2 linked regions of the Oryctolagus cuniculus genome follow. Each later gene encodes a partner of the first gene's protein in a complex. Links are inferred from orthologs where the notes say so. Each region holds a gene or a part of one and is shown in the gene's direction. Other genes may lie near its edges. The genes, in order: NOD2 and PKN1.

Region 1 (3,805 bases):
TTCCAGGCACAGAGGAGCCAGCTGGTGGGGCTGCTGGTTTCGGGGTCCCTGGAGGGCTTCGAGAGCATCCTGGACTTGCTGCTGTCATGGGAAGTTCTCTCCTGGGAGGACTATGAGGGCCTCCGCCTCGTGGGCCAGCCTCTGTCCCACTTGGCCAGGCGCCTCCTGGACACTGTCTGGAATAAAGGCACTTGGGGCTGTCAGAAGCTCATCGCAGCTGTCCAGGAGGCCCAGGACAGCAGCCAGTGCCCTGAGCTGCATGGCTGCTGGGACCCCCACTCACTCCACCCAGCCCAGGACCTGCAGAGTCACCGGCCAGCCATCGTCAGGAGACTGTACAGCCACGTGGAGGGCGTGCTGGACCTGGCGCTGGAGCAGGGCTTCATCAGCCAGTACGAATGTGATGAAATCAGGCTGCCCATCTTCACGTCATCCCAGAGGGTAAGGCTCTCTGTCCTGGTCAGCAAAAGTCATGGGGAGAGGGTGGTTGGTCCTTACGAAATCAGCTCTGTGGGGTAACTGTGTGGCCTCCCCTAAAAAGAAAGGCAGGCAGGTGCACGTTGCTCTCGATGGTTGGAAATAGACCTTGTGACAGAAGAAGTGTGGTGTGGTCAAGGGCTTCCGTTCTGCAACCAGCATGGTGCAGCATTGAGCTGCATCTTCAGGCTCCTCTATGGAAGCAGAAGGTTTTTGGGAGAAGTCAATGAACTGATTTGTGTGCTGCTTTGAGGAGTGCTTGGCACATAGTTAATATCATCAGCCTGTTAATCATCATGACTTCCCTCATTCCTGTTGCCAGTGCTTGTACACTTTGATTGCTGTCTTTTACAAATTTTATTTATTTATTTTTATTTATTTGAAAGGCAGAGAAAGAGGGAAGGAGAGAGGGAGAGGAAGGTTGGGGAGAGAGAGAGAGAGAGAGAGAGAGAGAGAAATGAGACAAAGATCTTCCATCTGCTGGTTTACTCCCCAAATGCCTGAACAGCTAGGGTGGGGAAGCTGAAGCCAGGAGTCAGGAACCCCATCTGGGTCTCCCTTGTGGGTTGCAGGGGCCCAAGTATATCGTCCAGCATCTGCTACCTCCAAGACCCATTAGCAAGAAACAGAGTAGCTGGGACTCGGAATGAGCTCTCAGATATGGGATATGGGCAACTCAAGTGGTGGCTTAACGTGCCAAGCCACAATGTCCTGCTCTCATCTATTTTTTAAATATATATATTTGTTGTTCTAGTAAGTTTAGATGAGGCTAGGTGGAAACTGATAAAGTAAGCTAATCAGTCTTCAAGCGTGGTTGAAAACTGGGTCATGGTGGCCAAGTATTTATAGAGCAGACCCTGTGTGGACCCCAAACGCAGTGCACACAGAGCCTGCAGTTATACCTTGAGCACCACCTCCAAGGAGATTACAGAAGACATATGGGTCATCGTACCTACTTTGGTGTCTTATATGACCTGTTGGGGGCCAAAATCAATGCACCTGAGAAGTCATAAGCTTCTGTCTTGTCATCTTTGATCAAGTGTTTGACGGTGTAGTCTGGTCCCAAAGCTCTGAGGGGTTTGTAGAAGGAAGCCTAGATTTCTTGGGACCATAGGAGGCACGACATGAATAGAAGAAGTATTTGGATTAGTGAATAAAAAAATGAGCCAGGCCAGCGCCGCGGCTCACTAGGCTAATCCTCCGCCTAGCGGCGCCGGCACACCGGGTTCTAGTCCCGGTTGGGGCGCCGGATTCTGTCCCGGTTGCCCCTCTTCCAGGCCAGCTCTCTGCTGTGGCCAGGGAGTGCAGTGGAGGATGGCCCAGGTGCTTGGGCCCTGCACCCCATGGGAGACCAGGAAAAGCACCTGGCTCCTGGCTCCTGCCATCGGATCAGCGCGGTGCGCCGGCCGCAGCGCGCCGGCCGCGCCGGCCATTGGAGGGTGAACCAACGGCAAAGGAAGACCTTTCTCTCTGTCTCTCTCTCTCACTGTCCACTCTGCCTGTCAAAAAATAAAAAAGAAAAAAAAAAGAAAAAAAAATGAGCCAAAAAAGAAATCATAATGGAAATTAGAACATATTCAGAACCAAACAACAGTGAGAATATTATTATCAAATTCTACAGGATTGCAGCTAGGGCAGGACATAGAGGGAAATTTATAACCATTTAAGGTTATGATTTATAACCATTTAAGCTCAGATTTGGAAAGGAGAAAGGCCGAATTTTAAAGGGTTAAAATTATTTTAGGAAAAGTCTAAGAAGACAACCATAACCAATACTGAATGTGGAGACTGAGCTGAGTGAGTGGAAGGGGCAGTGGGCCCTAGATCTGAAGACTGTGGATTTCACAGGAGCCGCTCTGCCTGATGCTTATGTTTTCAGAATCTAATTCTCTCTGCCCTGCCTTTGAGCTCTGACAGTCTGTGATTCGCTGATGTCATGGACTTCTCTCAGTGGCTGAACTTCTGATGGACTGTGGGTGGCACTTGCGTTGTGTCCAACTAACATTTGGATATTTTAGTTTCCTGTAGAGAGATGGCTGTCATTGATTTCGGGTTGAGGATAGAAAAATGCTATGGAATAAAACAAAATGCAGATAAAGAACTAAGTCTAGGGTGTATGTTTGGCATAGGGTTAATTAAGACACCATTTGGAAAGCTTGTGTCCTGTGTTGGGGTGCCCAGGTTTGCGTCATACCTCCACTCCTGAGTCTAGATTCCTGCTAATATGCATCCTGGGAGGCAGAATTTGATGATTCAAGTTGTTGGGTCCCTGCCACTCCAGTGGGAGAACTGGATTGAGTTCCAGGCTCCTGGCTTCGGCCTGGCCTACTCCTGGCCACTGTGGGCATTTGGGGAATGAACCAGTGGATGGGAGATGGCCCTGTTGGCCTTTCAGATTAAAAAAGAAGAAGAAACTGCCCAAATCATGTCTCTGGGAGGCAATCCAGTTAGAATTTGAAGCCAGGCCTGTTTTTCTCCAAAGCCTGTGCTCCTCTCCATCATAATATGTGGCAGCTTGGTGTGGCAAACTTGTTCAGTTGGGTGTAGCAGTGATTAGGCAACCTGAGGCTGACAACAGCAGCTGTGAGACCAGCTGCCCATCTGACTCATACACCTGCTGAAGTTGATGGGCTGAGGTGTCAGACTGAGCCTGGAGTTGCTTGGCTCCTACCACAATAATAACTTAAACACTTATTCACTGGGAACTGTAGGAAATGCCTACAGAAAGTGTGCACATTTTATAGATATGACATAAACAGACTCCCATAACCCAGGGTGAGAGATAGAATGCCACTCTTACCCAGGCCCTTTTCCAAGTAACATTAGCACAGGTATCCATTATCCAAAGGAATGTTCATCATTTTTTGCCTTAACATAATTTTAGCACTATTTATTTCAAAATAAATTCCCAAACAATAGATTATTTTTATTTTGAAAAACTGAGTAGCAAGCCAAACATAGCTGCGTAAGGCAAGGGCCAGTTGCTCTTTGTTGGATAAAAGTTTTCGGGGCAGAGAAGCCAGACAGTCTCAGGGTCATGGTCTGGCTTCCCCCTCCCTGGGAGGCTATAAGGGCCCCTGTGGGAAGTTGGTGAATGGGGTTGTGAATGAGTCTGGGGAAATACGGGGCTCACTATAGCTGGAGGACCTGGTAGGCCTGACACAAATTAGATACTGGTTGTCCAGCAGGAGTATGGTCAGAAGAAGCGGACTGTTGGGTACTTTGGGTGGGAAGCTTGCCAGGGGCTGTTCCATCTCCCAGGAGAAGGTCAAGGCTAAGCACTGCTGTAGGGTGAAATGAATGTCCTCAATTGACTCAGGCAGCAGGA
Region 2 (3,785 bases), on another chromosome or scaffold:
CCTCGAGCACTCCCGAGCTGCCTCTGGAGACCCAGGAGACCCCAGGCCCCGCCCTGTGCAGGTGCCAGCCCCGCCCCTGCACCCGGGACACGCCCCAGCCCGCTGCCCCGCCCCCAGCACCCGCGCCCTCTCTCCGCAGCCCCCTGAGGAAGGCGCCCCTGAGCCTCGAGGACTTCAAGTTCCTGGCGGTGCTGGGCCGGGGTCACTTTGGAAAGGTGAGGCAGGCCGTGGGCAGCGGGGCCCCCAGCGCGTCCAGGTCCCACCCCCACCCCCACCCCCGGGTCCCCCGGGTCAGCCACCCGGTACCGCTGTGGTTACAGGTGCTGCTGTCCGAATTCCGGTCCAGCGGGGAGCTGTTCGCCATCAAAGCTTTGAAGAAAGGGGACATCGTGGCCCGGGACGAGGTGGAGAGGTGGGGACCTGCCCTGGCCCTCTGGGGGCATCTGCGTTCTGGGTGACAGCAGGGACAGTGACCCCGTGACAGTCCTCAGCCCCCAGGCAGCCACCGTACATGGTGTCCCCGCGTGGCTCTGCTTCGGGGTCAGGGGCCTGTGTTCAGATCCCACCTCTGCCCGTTGTGCTTGGGGCATCCCCGGGGGTGAGGTAGGGGAAGCCACTTGTCCTGCCTCACCAGGGGTCCCAGAACGACTCTGCCCAGGGCAGAGGCACGCGAGACTTGTCCCAGCCCCCCCCCCCCCCCCCAATGATGGCGAACCCAAGTCAGAAAGGCTTAAAATAAAGGAGTTTATTGGCCCGGATAGGAGAAGGCTTGGAAGGGCGGCCTTCAGGCCTGGCTGCATCCAGGTGCTGGGCAGGGGGCGTTTTTCAGCCCCACCTGCCCTCCAGTGCGTCGGGCCCTCTCTGTCTCACAAGTCCAGTGGACCTCCGGGGCTCGACCCCCGGGGATCTTGAGTCGCCACTGTGCCTGAGCCCAGAGCCCACGGGGGCTTCCCGCACGCCCCCCGCAGCAGCCCCAAGGCTCAGAGGCGTCAAGGCACCTGCCCGAAACTGCACAGCGGAGTGTGTGTGGGGGGTTCGCCCAGCGCCGGGAGGGGCAGCGGGCACTGACGTCCGTCCCCGCCCCCAGCCTCATGTGCGAGAAGCGGATCCTGGCGGCCGTGACCAGCGCCGGCCACCCCTTCCTGGTCAACCTGTTCGGCTGCTTCCAGACGCCCGAGCACGTGTGCTTCGTGCTCGAGTACTCCCCGGGCGGGGACCTCATGCTGCACATCCACAGCGACGTGTTCTCCGAGCCGCGCGCCGCGTGAGCCGAGCCCCGCCCCCGCCCCGCGTCCTCACAGCCGCCTGCGCCCCCCGCCCCGCCCCCGGGCATCCTCACAGCCACTTGCGCCCCTCCACCCCTCCGCCCCCTCGTCCTCACAGCCGCCTGCGCCCCCCCCCCCCCCCCCCGCCCCAGCATCCTCACAGCCGCCCCTCTCTCCCCCGCCCCGCCCCGCCCGCAGCTTTTACTCGGCCTGCGTGGTGCTTGGCCTGCAGTTCCTGCACGAACACAAGATCGTCTACAGGTGAGCGCATGCGCGGCCATGCCCGCCGGGCAGGGTCTGCGTGCACGTGTGTGCTCAGGCCCCTGAGGTTGCCCTCAGTCCCACCGCCGCCCCTGCCCTCCTCACGCCCCGCCCCTCTGCCCCGCCCATCCTCACGCCCCGCCCCCGCAGGGACCTGAAGTTGGACAATTTGCTCCTGGACACCGAGGGCTACGTCAAGATCGCAGACTTTGGGCTCTGCAAGGAGGGTGAGGGGCTGCAGCCGGGGTTTGGGGGCTTTGGGGTCGGTGGGGAGGGGTGGAGTCTGCAGCCCAGCGCCCCTCCCCCATCGCCTCCCCCAGGGATGGGCTACGGGGACCGGACCAGCACTTTCTGTGGGACCCCCGAGTTCCTGGCGCCGGAGGTGCTGACGGACACGTCATACACGCGGGCCGTGGACTGGTGGGGGCTAGGGGTGCTGCTCTACGAGATGCTGGTTGGTGAGGTGAGGACCCCTCCCCTCCCCCACGAAGCTGCTCCCCGGCCCCCGCCAGCCGGGAGCTGGGGGGTCGGGGTCGGGGGTGGGGTAGCTCGGCCTCCCCGGCCTCAGTTTGTGCACCTGACAAATGGGATACTTACCCTGGCGCGCCAGCCGGCACCTCCTCCCCCAGCCCCAGCCACCCAGCGCAGGTGCAGCAGGTGCAGCCGGGGAGGGGGAGGGGTGGTCTGCGCACGCATGCGCGGCTCAGCCCCGCCCGCCGCTGTCCTCCGCCCCCCCCCCCCCGCCCCAGTCCCCATTCCCAGGGGACGACGAAGAAGAGGTGTTCGACAGCATCGTCAACGATGAAGTCCGCTATCCCCGCTTCCTGTCGGCCGAAGCCATCGGCATCATGCGGAGGGTGAGCGGCCCCGGCCCCCGCCCCTGCCGCCGCCCCGGGAGGGCAGACCCTGACCCAGCGCCCCTTCCTCCCCCCCCAGCTGTTGCGGAGGAACCCGGAGCGCCGGCTGGGGTCCAGCGAGCGCGACGCGGAGGATGTCAAAAAGCAGCCGTTTTTCAGGGTGAGGGGCCGCTCTTCCCCCAGACCCCCCCCAGCCTTCGTCATCCTGTCCCCATACCCTCATCTCCCTCCCCTGCAGCCCCCGGACCCTCATGTCCACCCCCTCCTCCCGCCCCCATGCACCTGCGTCTTGCAGCCCCCGGGACCCCCTCACGTCCACCCCCTCCTCCCGCCCCCGTGCACCTGCGCCTTTGTGGTCCTCGCCAGCCCCCCCCCTTCGTGCCCACCCTCTCCTCCCGCCCCCATGCACCTGCGTCTTGCAGCCCCCGGGACCCCCTCACGTCCACCCTCTCCTCCCGCCCCCATGCACCTGCGCCTTGGTGGTCCTGGCCAGGCCACACCCCTGGACCCCTCACGTCCACCCCCTCCTCCCGCCCCCGTGCACCTGTGCCTTGGTGGTCCTCGCCAGCCCCCCCTCCCCGACCCCTTCATGCCCACCCACTCTCTCCCTCCCCGCAGACGCTGGGCTGGGACGCCCTGCTGGCCCGGCGCCTGCCGCCACCCTTCGTGCCCACGCTGGCCGGCCGCACCGACGTCAGCAACTTCGACGAGGAGTTCACGGGCGAGGCCCCCACACTGAGCCCCCCCCGCGACGCGCGGCCCCTCACCGCCGCCGAGCAGGCGGCCTTCCGGGACTTCGACTTTGTGGCTGGGGGCTGCTAGCCGCCCCCCTCTCCTGCCCGCCCCCTGACCCAGGGATCCTAGTTTTTAAAAAGGCCCTTGGGGTTCGCCCCATCCACGCATTGTGCGAGTGTTCTTGTGCGCGCTATTGGGGAGGGAAGCAGGCACGGGTGAGGGGGCGGTGGTCCCCTGGGCTAGCATGGGAGGGGACGGGGCGGTGGGTGGTGGGTTCAAGGCCGTGATGGGGTGGGGTAGGGGCTTGGGGGCTGTGCCAGGGGCTCTCAGGGCCCTAGTGAACAGCATGGTTGCGAGAGTCTTCCACGGAGCCCCCGGAGCCCCCGGAGCCCCAGCCCCAGGGCCGCGGCGGTGCTGTTGTGCACATGCACCTGCGGCTCTGGCTCCCCACCCTGGGGACCCTCCCCCTCGACTGAGGAGCGTCCGGTGTCTCTCCGCCCTCGCGTGGCAAGTCCGGGAACTGCACTCGTCCAATCGGCGCTCGCGGTGCCTCTGCCGCCCCTAGCGGCCAACAGTAGATGCTGCGGCTCCGATGGGACGCTTCATTTACACCCCCGGTAGCTTCATTTACCCTCGCAAAGGTTGGGCGCTTTGCACGTGCCACCCG

What was found.
Region 2: NOD2 (region 1) and PKN1 share a complex: the UniProt entries of both Homo sapiens proteins name them as parts of the signaling complex. The link is inferred for Oryctolagus cuniculus from reciprocal best matches to the Homo sapiens genes NOD2 and PKN1.

Annotation. Positions count from the first base shown.
Region 1 is NC_091449.1:34,248,075-34,251,879, forward strand, and holds part of NOD2 (nucleotide-binding oligomerization domain-containing protein 2), read left to right. Parts: coding exon 1-441; intron 442-3,805. UniProt on the Homo sapiens protein: Pattern recognition receptor (PRR) that detects bacterial peptidoglycan fragments and other danger signals and plays an important role in gastrointestinal immunity.
Region 2 is NC_091447.1:63,110,141-63,113,925, forward strand, and holds the end of PKN1 (serine/threonine-protein kinase N1), read left to right. Parts: coding exon 1-61; intron 62-139; coding exon 140-215; intron 216-320; coding exon 321-412; intron 413-1,087; coding exon 1,088-1,264; intron 1,265-1,463; coding exon 1,464-1,526; intron 1,527-1,676; coding exon 1,677-1,753; intron 1,754-1,846; coding exon 1,847-1,989; intron 1,990-2,275; coding exon 2,276-2,383; intron 2,384-2,462; coding exon 2,463-2,543; intron 2,544-3,001; coding exon 3,002-3,205; 3' UTR 3,206-3,285; downstream 3,286-3,785. UniProt on the Homo sapiens protein: PKC-related serine/threonine-protein kinase involved in various processes such as regulation of the intermediate filaments of the actin cytoskeleton, cell migration, tumor cell invasion and transcription regulation.